Linked DNA regions of Cricetulus griseus. The protein of the gene in region 1 purifies or fractionates together with the protein of each later gene. This does not show direct contact. Links are inferred from orthologs where the notes say so. Each region holds a gene or a part of one and is shown in the gene's direction. Other genes may lie near its edges. The genes, in order: Pitpnm3 and Vapa.

Region 1 (3,819 bases):
ACAGGCCCTTCCTCTCAGAGAAAAGGAGAGACCCAGAGGCAGGGGAGGGGGACAGATACTGGGTGTGGTAGAACAAGGGAGAGACAGTGAGGAAGTCTTGGGAGAGCACAGCCAAGTTCAAGGACCATGGAAGGTACAGGCTCATGGGAAGAGAACCCCAAAGAGCCCACCTTTGGGCTGAAGGGACTGGAAACCAGGCAGGAGAGATCGTGCTGAGTTTGTGAAAGAAAGAGGTGTTTGGCCAAAAACAAGACAAGAGACCAAAAACAAAGGGAATTGAGCCATATAGGAACCAGGGAGAGAGAGACAGAAAGAAATAGAAAGTTATATAGAAGTCAGCATGCTCAGAGCTAGGGAGCCCTTTCAGACCCCCAAGGGCACTAAAGGCCTCACATACACCCCTGGGGTGGAATCTCTTGCATTATAGGAATCACTAATTAGCATGTAATGATCACCTACCTGGCACTGCACCTGGCATTCCACTCTCTGGTCTTCCCACATCGTAGTTCTTTATGGTGGTGTCCTCCACATCACTGGTTTCCTGTGGGACAGAGAAAACATCCTACACACACACATTATGTGCTTAGGAGTCTATTCGCTGTAGCATGGTTGTTGAAATGGGCAAAGGAATACTTGCTTGCTTGGGTAACCAACTGAGCCAAGAGACAGAATTAAGGCATGTGCCACTATGCCTGGCTTTGTGGTTCTGTTTCTTCAAGGATAACACCACCTTATATATTTACAGTGTTTTAGCTTGTGTAATTCTTTCAAGTTTATTATAGTATTTGTCCCTGTGGCAGCTTGCTAGAAGAGTTGGAGAGCTACCTCTGTGTGTGTGTGTGTGTGTGTGTGTGTGTGTGTGTGTGTGTGTGTGTGTGCAAAAACAAAGCTCATAGCTTTTACAATTGACACCAGAAGCTGGTTAGAGCTCTGCCCAGTATTAGATACTACTTAACAGGTGTGAACTTGTCACCAGAAAGAACACACCTGGCTGAGAAAGCTGTCCAGGTGTATGAGGCCAACCAATACAGGATGTCTGGGACAGAGTATTGAGAGGGTGAAATGTCAGGGTAGGGCTTTCTTTACCCTCTATTTTGTGAGACAGATTCTCACATGTACCCTAGGTTGGCCCCAAACTTATGATCCTCCTACCATGGCTTCCCAAGTGCTGGGATTACAGATATATGCCACAATGGCAGGCTTAGGGATAACTGAGTGCACCCAATTCCCACTATATCTGGTTTTGAATCTGGGTGCAAGGCAGAAATCTTGAGCAAGGATTATTCAACTTCTGTTTTTTTCAGTTTTCTTGTCTACAAAATAAAGATAGTAATCATTGTTTCTTCTTCTTGTTGTTGTTGTGTGTATAAGATGTTGGGTTGTGTTTGTAGGGTGCATATACTCATTACTGTGGGTTTGCTCGTGTGTGTGTGTGTGTGTGTGTGTGTGTGTGTGTGTGTGTGTGTGTGTGACGTGGAAACCAGAGGTTGATGTCGGGTGCTTTTTTTTTTTTTTCTTTTTTTGATGACTCTTCATCTTTACTTTTTGAGGCAGGGTCTGAAACTCGATTTGACAAGGCTGTTCTGGTCAAGCAGCTTCAGGATCCACCTGTCTCTGCCCCACAACTTCCAGCACTGGGGTTACAGGAATGTGATGCTATTTTTTTTGTAGGTTCTGGTAATCTGTAAGTCTTCATGCTTGTGTAGCATGATGTTATTGACAAAGCCATTTCTAGCCCCATTATTAGTCCCATTTTTGTGAGAATTTAATTAATTTTCTTTTTTTTTTTTGCTTGATGTGGTTTGAGATAGGGTTTTATGTAGTCTGGGCTGGGCTTGAATTCACTATGTAACTAAAGCTGCCTTGAACTTCTAGTCTCCTGCCTTCACCTTCTGAGTGCTAGGATTGCAGACATGCACCACTATGTTTAGCTTATGAATTAATATTTGTAAATCACGTATACCCATATCACTAGAAAAAGTTTCATAAGGACTGTTAAATCAATCAAATAAATAACACAATAAGGCAGGAGGCATTTTCAGAGATGAGATCTGAATTGCTGAGTGCTAGTGTGAGTCAGAACGCTGGACAGCTCCCAAACCTTTCAGTCCACCATGTTGGTTGCTGGAGAAACCCTCTAACAGAAAGGCAGATATCAGCTTTTATTGTTCATTATCCTGAACCTTCTCAACATCCTTGCTGACTGTGATGTGAAGGAAGGCACAAAGCTCTTCACCACAAGGGCTCATCTAGGGGTGGGCACTGGCAATGAGAAGTGTGTCTGTTCCCACAGGTGTGCTCTTTTCCTTCCCATGATAAGGGACTGTGTCACATGTGTGGTGGGAGACCCAGAGGCTTGTTTATGGTGTGGACAGGGAATATGATCCCACTGCTTCTTGCCAGAATAATCATTAAGTACAGAGACAGGGCTGGGGGAGTTGAGCAGGAATGGAGACATTAAAAGGTTTCTGCAGTTGAGATGGAAGCTAAGGTCTCCATACAGTTCATACAGCTTAGAACCAGAAGACTCCCCCCACTCCTTACCTCAGAGCTGTTCCAGCAGCTCTCCAGTCCCAGCCAGCCTAAGTCCTGCTCGTGAATGACTTGTCAGGAGAAGAAATGAGCACAGTGGCTCTTATCTCTGGGTGCCCTCTGTGCACTGAGGCTCTGAAATCCTTCACCTCATTTGATCCTTCCCAGAACCCTGTGAGCTGGACATTGCCTGTCTCATTTTACTGATGGGGAAAATGGAGGTTCATAGAAGTCCAGACACATTCCTGAAGAAAGACTGTGGGCAAATCATGAGTTTTTGGTTCTTTCTTTCCAAGAAATGCCAGTCTCCATTCTAGGAGTGGATGATTGCCTCGTTGTCACTTTCTTTTGCTGTAGCACATAGGACCCTAGTGAGTCACAGCAACAAGGCATGGTTGCAATGACAAATTCCTCAATAGTTTAGTCCTGTAGGTGAAGATTCTTTCAGTAGTCAAAGTCTTGGGTGGAGGATGAAGCTCAGTGGTAGAGCACTTGTCTGGCATGTGCAAGGCCCCGGGTTCCATCTCTAGCACTGCAAATGAAAATGTTCAAGTATATTTCAATTTATGGGTGAAATGAGTACTCCCTGACACAGCTATGGTTAAGGCCAACCCTACCCAGCCCTGTCTACTAATATCCATCTCTCCCCTTCCCTCAGAGGAGGTGGCTGAAGGTAAGAGCGCCATCCTTATTGGAATGAGCCAGTGGAGCTCCAATGACCTGGTGGAGCAGATTGAGACCATGGGGAAACTGGATGAGCATCAAGGTGAGCCTCTGCTTCCCCCAAGACCTTGCTGTGCATGTGTGTTACAGGATGGGGGTAGAGGCTACCATTGTGCCTGGGACCTATAGGACTCTCTGTGTGGGGGGGCATCTGGGGTTGCCTAGGCCAAAACAACTACAGGGCACTTCAACAGGATACTTCCTTTGTTCATAGAGTGGCACTCAGGAACCATAGGTAATTAGGGGCAATCTAGGTCAAACTGTTAGAGTTCTAGGTATGTGAAAGTTGAGATCATTTAGATAAGATAGGCTCCCAGGAACTTACCCACTCACAAGACCTGCATGAATCCCTTCCCAAGGCAGTCACAGCCCAATCACTTTCTACCAAGCTCCATCTTTAAGAGGTTCCACTGTCTCCATGCTATTACACTGGGGACTAAGCTCCCAGCTTATGAACCTTTGGGAACAAATACATCCAATCCCTAACATTCATTTCACTTTTCCAATCCTTTCTTGGCCTTGACACTGGACAGTTTTAGTCTGAGCAAACCAGAGTTGCTAAGT
Region 2 (3,819 bases), on another chromosome or scaffold:
ACCTATCAGTCTGAATTTGAGTTTTAAAAACATAAAAAGCCTTAACTCTACTTGATATTTTCCTTATTAATTAAGTGTATATATTTAGTGTACTTGCTCTCTACAAACATCTGATAGTAAAATACTTTCTGCAAAAGCTTTTGCATTAATGACAACAAGGGGTCCGAATGGAGCAGGAGTCAGGAGCCTTCTGTATTTCAGAGTACATGCTACTTTTGTTGAGACAGAATAGATTGGATGTCTGTTAAATACTATTTTGTGCCAACCTTGTTGAGTTACTCTATGTTAACTATACTAAGAGGACTTGAGGTAAGTTGGGAACTGTGGATTTACGATAGGCTAACCAGAGTGTTAATCAGTCTTTGGGTTTTAATGGCCTGCTGTGTGTTTGGGAGGTGACGGGGCCCTGAGAATAAAAGAGGCCTACAGATCATTAGCAGTTTTTAGCTTTCAAGGGAAAAATGTTCACGTCAAGTGTTATCAAAGGTAAGAGAACATGAAGCTGAATATTTTTCAGATAATGACAAGTATGAGTTGTTTTTGTTTTTAAAGTATATACATTTAAGTGGAAGTATGCAAAAGGCCATACCTAGTTTTGTGTGAGAAATAATACGAAAAGCCAGTTTTGCTTTGATGTTCTGTTTCTTATGCATTATTTTTATGGAATAAGATGTCAATGTTTTACAGGCTAAAGCTATTTGTGTTAGTCATTCCCAATATCATACAGGAGAAATCAGTTTGGTATGAATCTGAGAATATTTTTCCCATGCTACCTCAGGGTAAAACTCCACCAGGGATTGCTTCAGCTGTCACTTCAATCAGCACCGTCAGCAACACAGTTGCAACACCTGCCAGTTATCACATGAAGAATGATCCCAGGGAGCTAAAAGAGCTGAAGCAGGTTTGTCATAGGAGCTAACAGAAGTAGGCGTCTACTAGTGTTAGTAAGTTAATGTAGATACCTTACCTAAGGAGATAAGTAATATTGAGTGTATTAAAGGTTAGAATTTTAAAAAGCCTTTTTGAAGCAATATCTCATGTTGCCTAGATTGGCCTCTAAACTCATTGTGAAGCCAAGGATGACAAACTTCTTACCCTCCTGCCTCCACTTAGAAGTGCTGAGACTGCACCTGGTTCTGTGTTGGGGCTGGAGAGAGCCCAGGACTTCTGCATGCGGGCAGCCTACTGACTGTCACCATCCTCAGCATTCACACTTGAAGCTGATTTTAAAATTACAATAGGGCTGAAAGGTACAGGGACAGCTCTGCTCTGAAACAATGGTCAGTGGAGTCACAGTTGGACATAAAAGTGAACACTGTTGAGTTCGTGTGGCTTTTCCCTTGAACGAGATTTGGGGAGCATATGCTGAAAATTGAATTTGTAGCTTGTTTGAATTAGCCTAGAAGGTACATAGTAATTAGTGAGAGTGAGAGCTGGCAAACACTGCTTTTCAACAAGCATTTGTGTTTGCATAAAGAAAATACAAGAATAGTAACCTTTATTTACCTGTAATGCCCTGGGATTTAGAAAAAATTTTCTGACTAAAATTGAGGCCATAATTTACCTCTGCATGTATATCGTTGAATGCTAATAAGGTTAGGGTATCTGAGTTTGTTGGTAGAATGGGTTCTGTGTAATTCTTTTAAGCATTTATTACTTACAGGAAAGTTCAGAAATGTTTATACGTTCTTGTTCTTCTGATTTGACTTAGAATAGGATATACATAAAAGAAGGCTTTAAACATTTTTAGATTTCATTTTACATGTGTGGGTGTTTGCCTACATGTTGTGTGTATGCACACCACTTGTACCTTATGTCAGTGGAGGTCAGCAGAGGCATCAGGTCCCCTGGAACCAGGGTTACAGATGGATGTGAGACACCATGTTGGTGCTAGGAATCAAATCCAGGTCTTCTGGAAGAACAGCCAATTTTTTTTTTTTTTTTAAACAGTTGAACCATCTCTAGCCCCCTTACCAAGGCTTTATTTTTTATTTTTTTCAAGACAGGGTTTCTCTGTGGCTTTGGAGACTGTCCTGGAACTAGCTCTTGTAGACCAGGCTGGCCTCGAACTCACAGAGATCCATCCTCCTGCTAATAAGGCTTTAAAAATACCTTTCATTAGCTGAGTGCATTGGTGCAGTTGATGTACACTAGGGAGGCAGAGACAGGCACAGAACTCTCGTGAGTCCAGGGCTAACCTGGTCTGTATAGCTAGTTCCAGGCTATCTAGGACTGCATGGTGAGACCTGTCAACAAATCTTTTATCTAAATTTTTAATTCTGTTTGGCCTTATATTTGGAATTATTTTTTTGTAATCATGGGCCTAGAGAAACCATGCATTTGCTGTTAGATTAGGAAGAAAAAACATTCAGAGAGCATTGTTGTTCAGATACTTCAATTCACAGATTAAAACTTTAATTCTGACAACATAGCCATACACCGTCTTTATGTATTGACAACCCTTTACTCAACACAGTGATGAAAATGTCCTTTAGTTCCTGTCTTCACAGAATGCATTGCAAATGCTTGTAGATTTGACCTTGACTTTCTATGTGTAGTCCCTAGCTCCTTTCTGATAGCCCCTACAAAGTTAGTACAGTGGAAATCTCTGTGTGGGGCTACCGCAGACAGGCAGAAAGAATACAGTGGTGGAGAATGTATGGCATACAGTCTTGACACTGTAGCCTATTCTCACCCGAGGTGCTAAGGTTGGCTTATTTCATGGTCCTAGTCCCCTGTCTGCTGGGATTAATGGTGAGCATTACACCCCACATTTATTTGGGACTTTAATTTTTTATTTTAAAGTCATTAGAATTCCCCTCTCTCCACTACTAGCTTCATATATATCATTCTGTAGTCAACACTGGGCCAACAGTATGATTTTCTTCTGCATTTTTTGCTCCTGTACTTGGGGTTGAGCCAATGACCATTATGTGTGTGAGGCAAATGCTCTGCTGCCCAGCACTGTCTTCGTTGTTAGGCAACACTTGAGGACTCGTCTGTTGTTGAGTACTGCCTGCCTTACAGAGGGAGGCACATGCTTTCCCCTTTGAAATTCAGGTTGGGTTGTGCAGGATGGGGTATGAAAACTCAGTTTGAAGTGAATTTTAATTATTGTCAAGAAAATAGAGTAAATATTTTAGCAAAATATATCAGGTACAGACTTTTTATACTAGAGATGGACTTGGTTGGACATTAGGGAGATTGCGGTAAAGAACAAATGTCAGCAGGAGAAACTCAGAGCAAATTGAGGTAATTAAGTCTCTTCACACTTGAAAAGTGGGAAATGTGCGGGCAGGTCAGGTAGTCAGGGTTGTGCACTAGAACCCCTTGTTGCCCTCAGAAAGTACTGGCACGGGCAGCTTCAGGAAGAAGACTTGGTTTGAGGAGCAGTGCAGTCTAGCACCAGTAGCTGGTAGTCTGCAGGCAGGAGACAGCGGTGAATGCTGGTGCTCATTGCTCTTCCTTTTTTTTTTTCTGTTGAGGACCCGCCCATGTGACGGTGCCACTCACTCACTCACTCACTCACTCACTCACTCACTCACTCACTCACTCACAATTAGGGTCTGTTGCCCCATCTCGATTAACCCAGTATAGAAAAGAAAGAATTTTGCAGCCCTAGGTGATTCTAGACCTGTCTGGTTGACAGCATTAACACTGTAGTCCCATTGGCCACCAGAGTGGTTCTGCACAGTCTCTGATCCTGGTACAGATGACTGCTGTGTGATGCTGTGAAATGTAATTTGGTAAATGCCTTGATCAGCAGTTTATATCTGCATAAAGCTTGCCCTTTTTATGTATTTATTTGTAGTGTTTATG

What was found.
Region 2: the proteins of Pitpnm3 (region 1) and Vapa purify together in Homo sapiens (co-immunoprecipitation; 3 studies listed by BioGRID and IntAct, with this or other methods). This does not show direct contact. The link is inferred for Cricetulus griseus from reciprocal best matches to the Homo sapiens genes PITPNM3 and VAPA.

Annotation. Positions count from the first base shown.
Region 1 is NC_048600.1:85,950,458-85,954,276, reverse strand, and holds part of Pitpnm3 (membrane-associated phosphatidylinositol transfer protein 3), read left to right. Parts: intron 1-3,190; coding exon 3,191-3,298; intron 3,299-3,819. UniProt on the Homo sapiens protein: Catalyzes the transfer of phosphatidylinositol and phosphatidylcholine between membranes (in vitro). Binds calcium ions.
Region 2 is NC_048595.1:454,539,505-454,543,323, reverse strand, and holds part of Vapa (vesicle-associated membrane protein-associated protein A), read left to right. Parts: intron 1-778; coding exon 779-901; intron 902-3,819. UniProt on the Homo sapiens protein: Endoplasmic reticulum (ER)-anchored protein that mediates the formation of contact sites between the ER and endosomes via interaction with FFAT motif-containing proteins such as STARD3 or WDR44.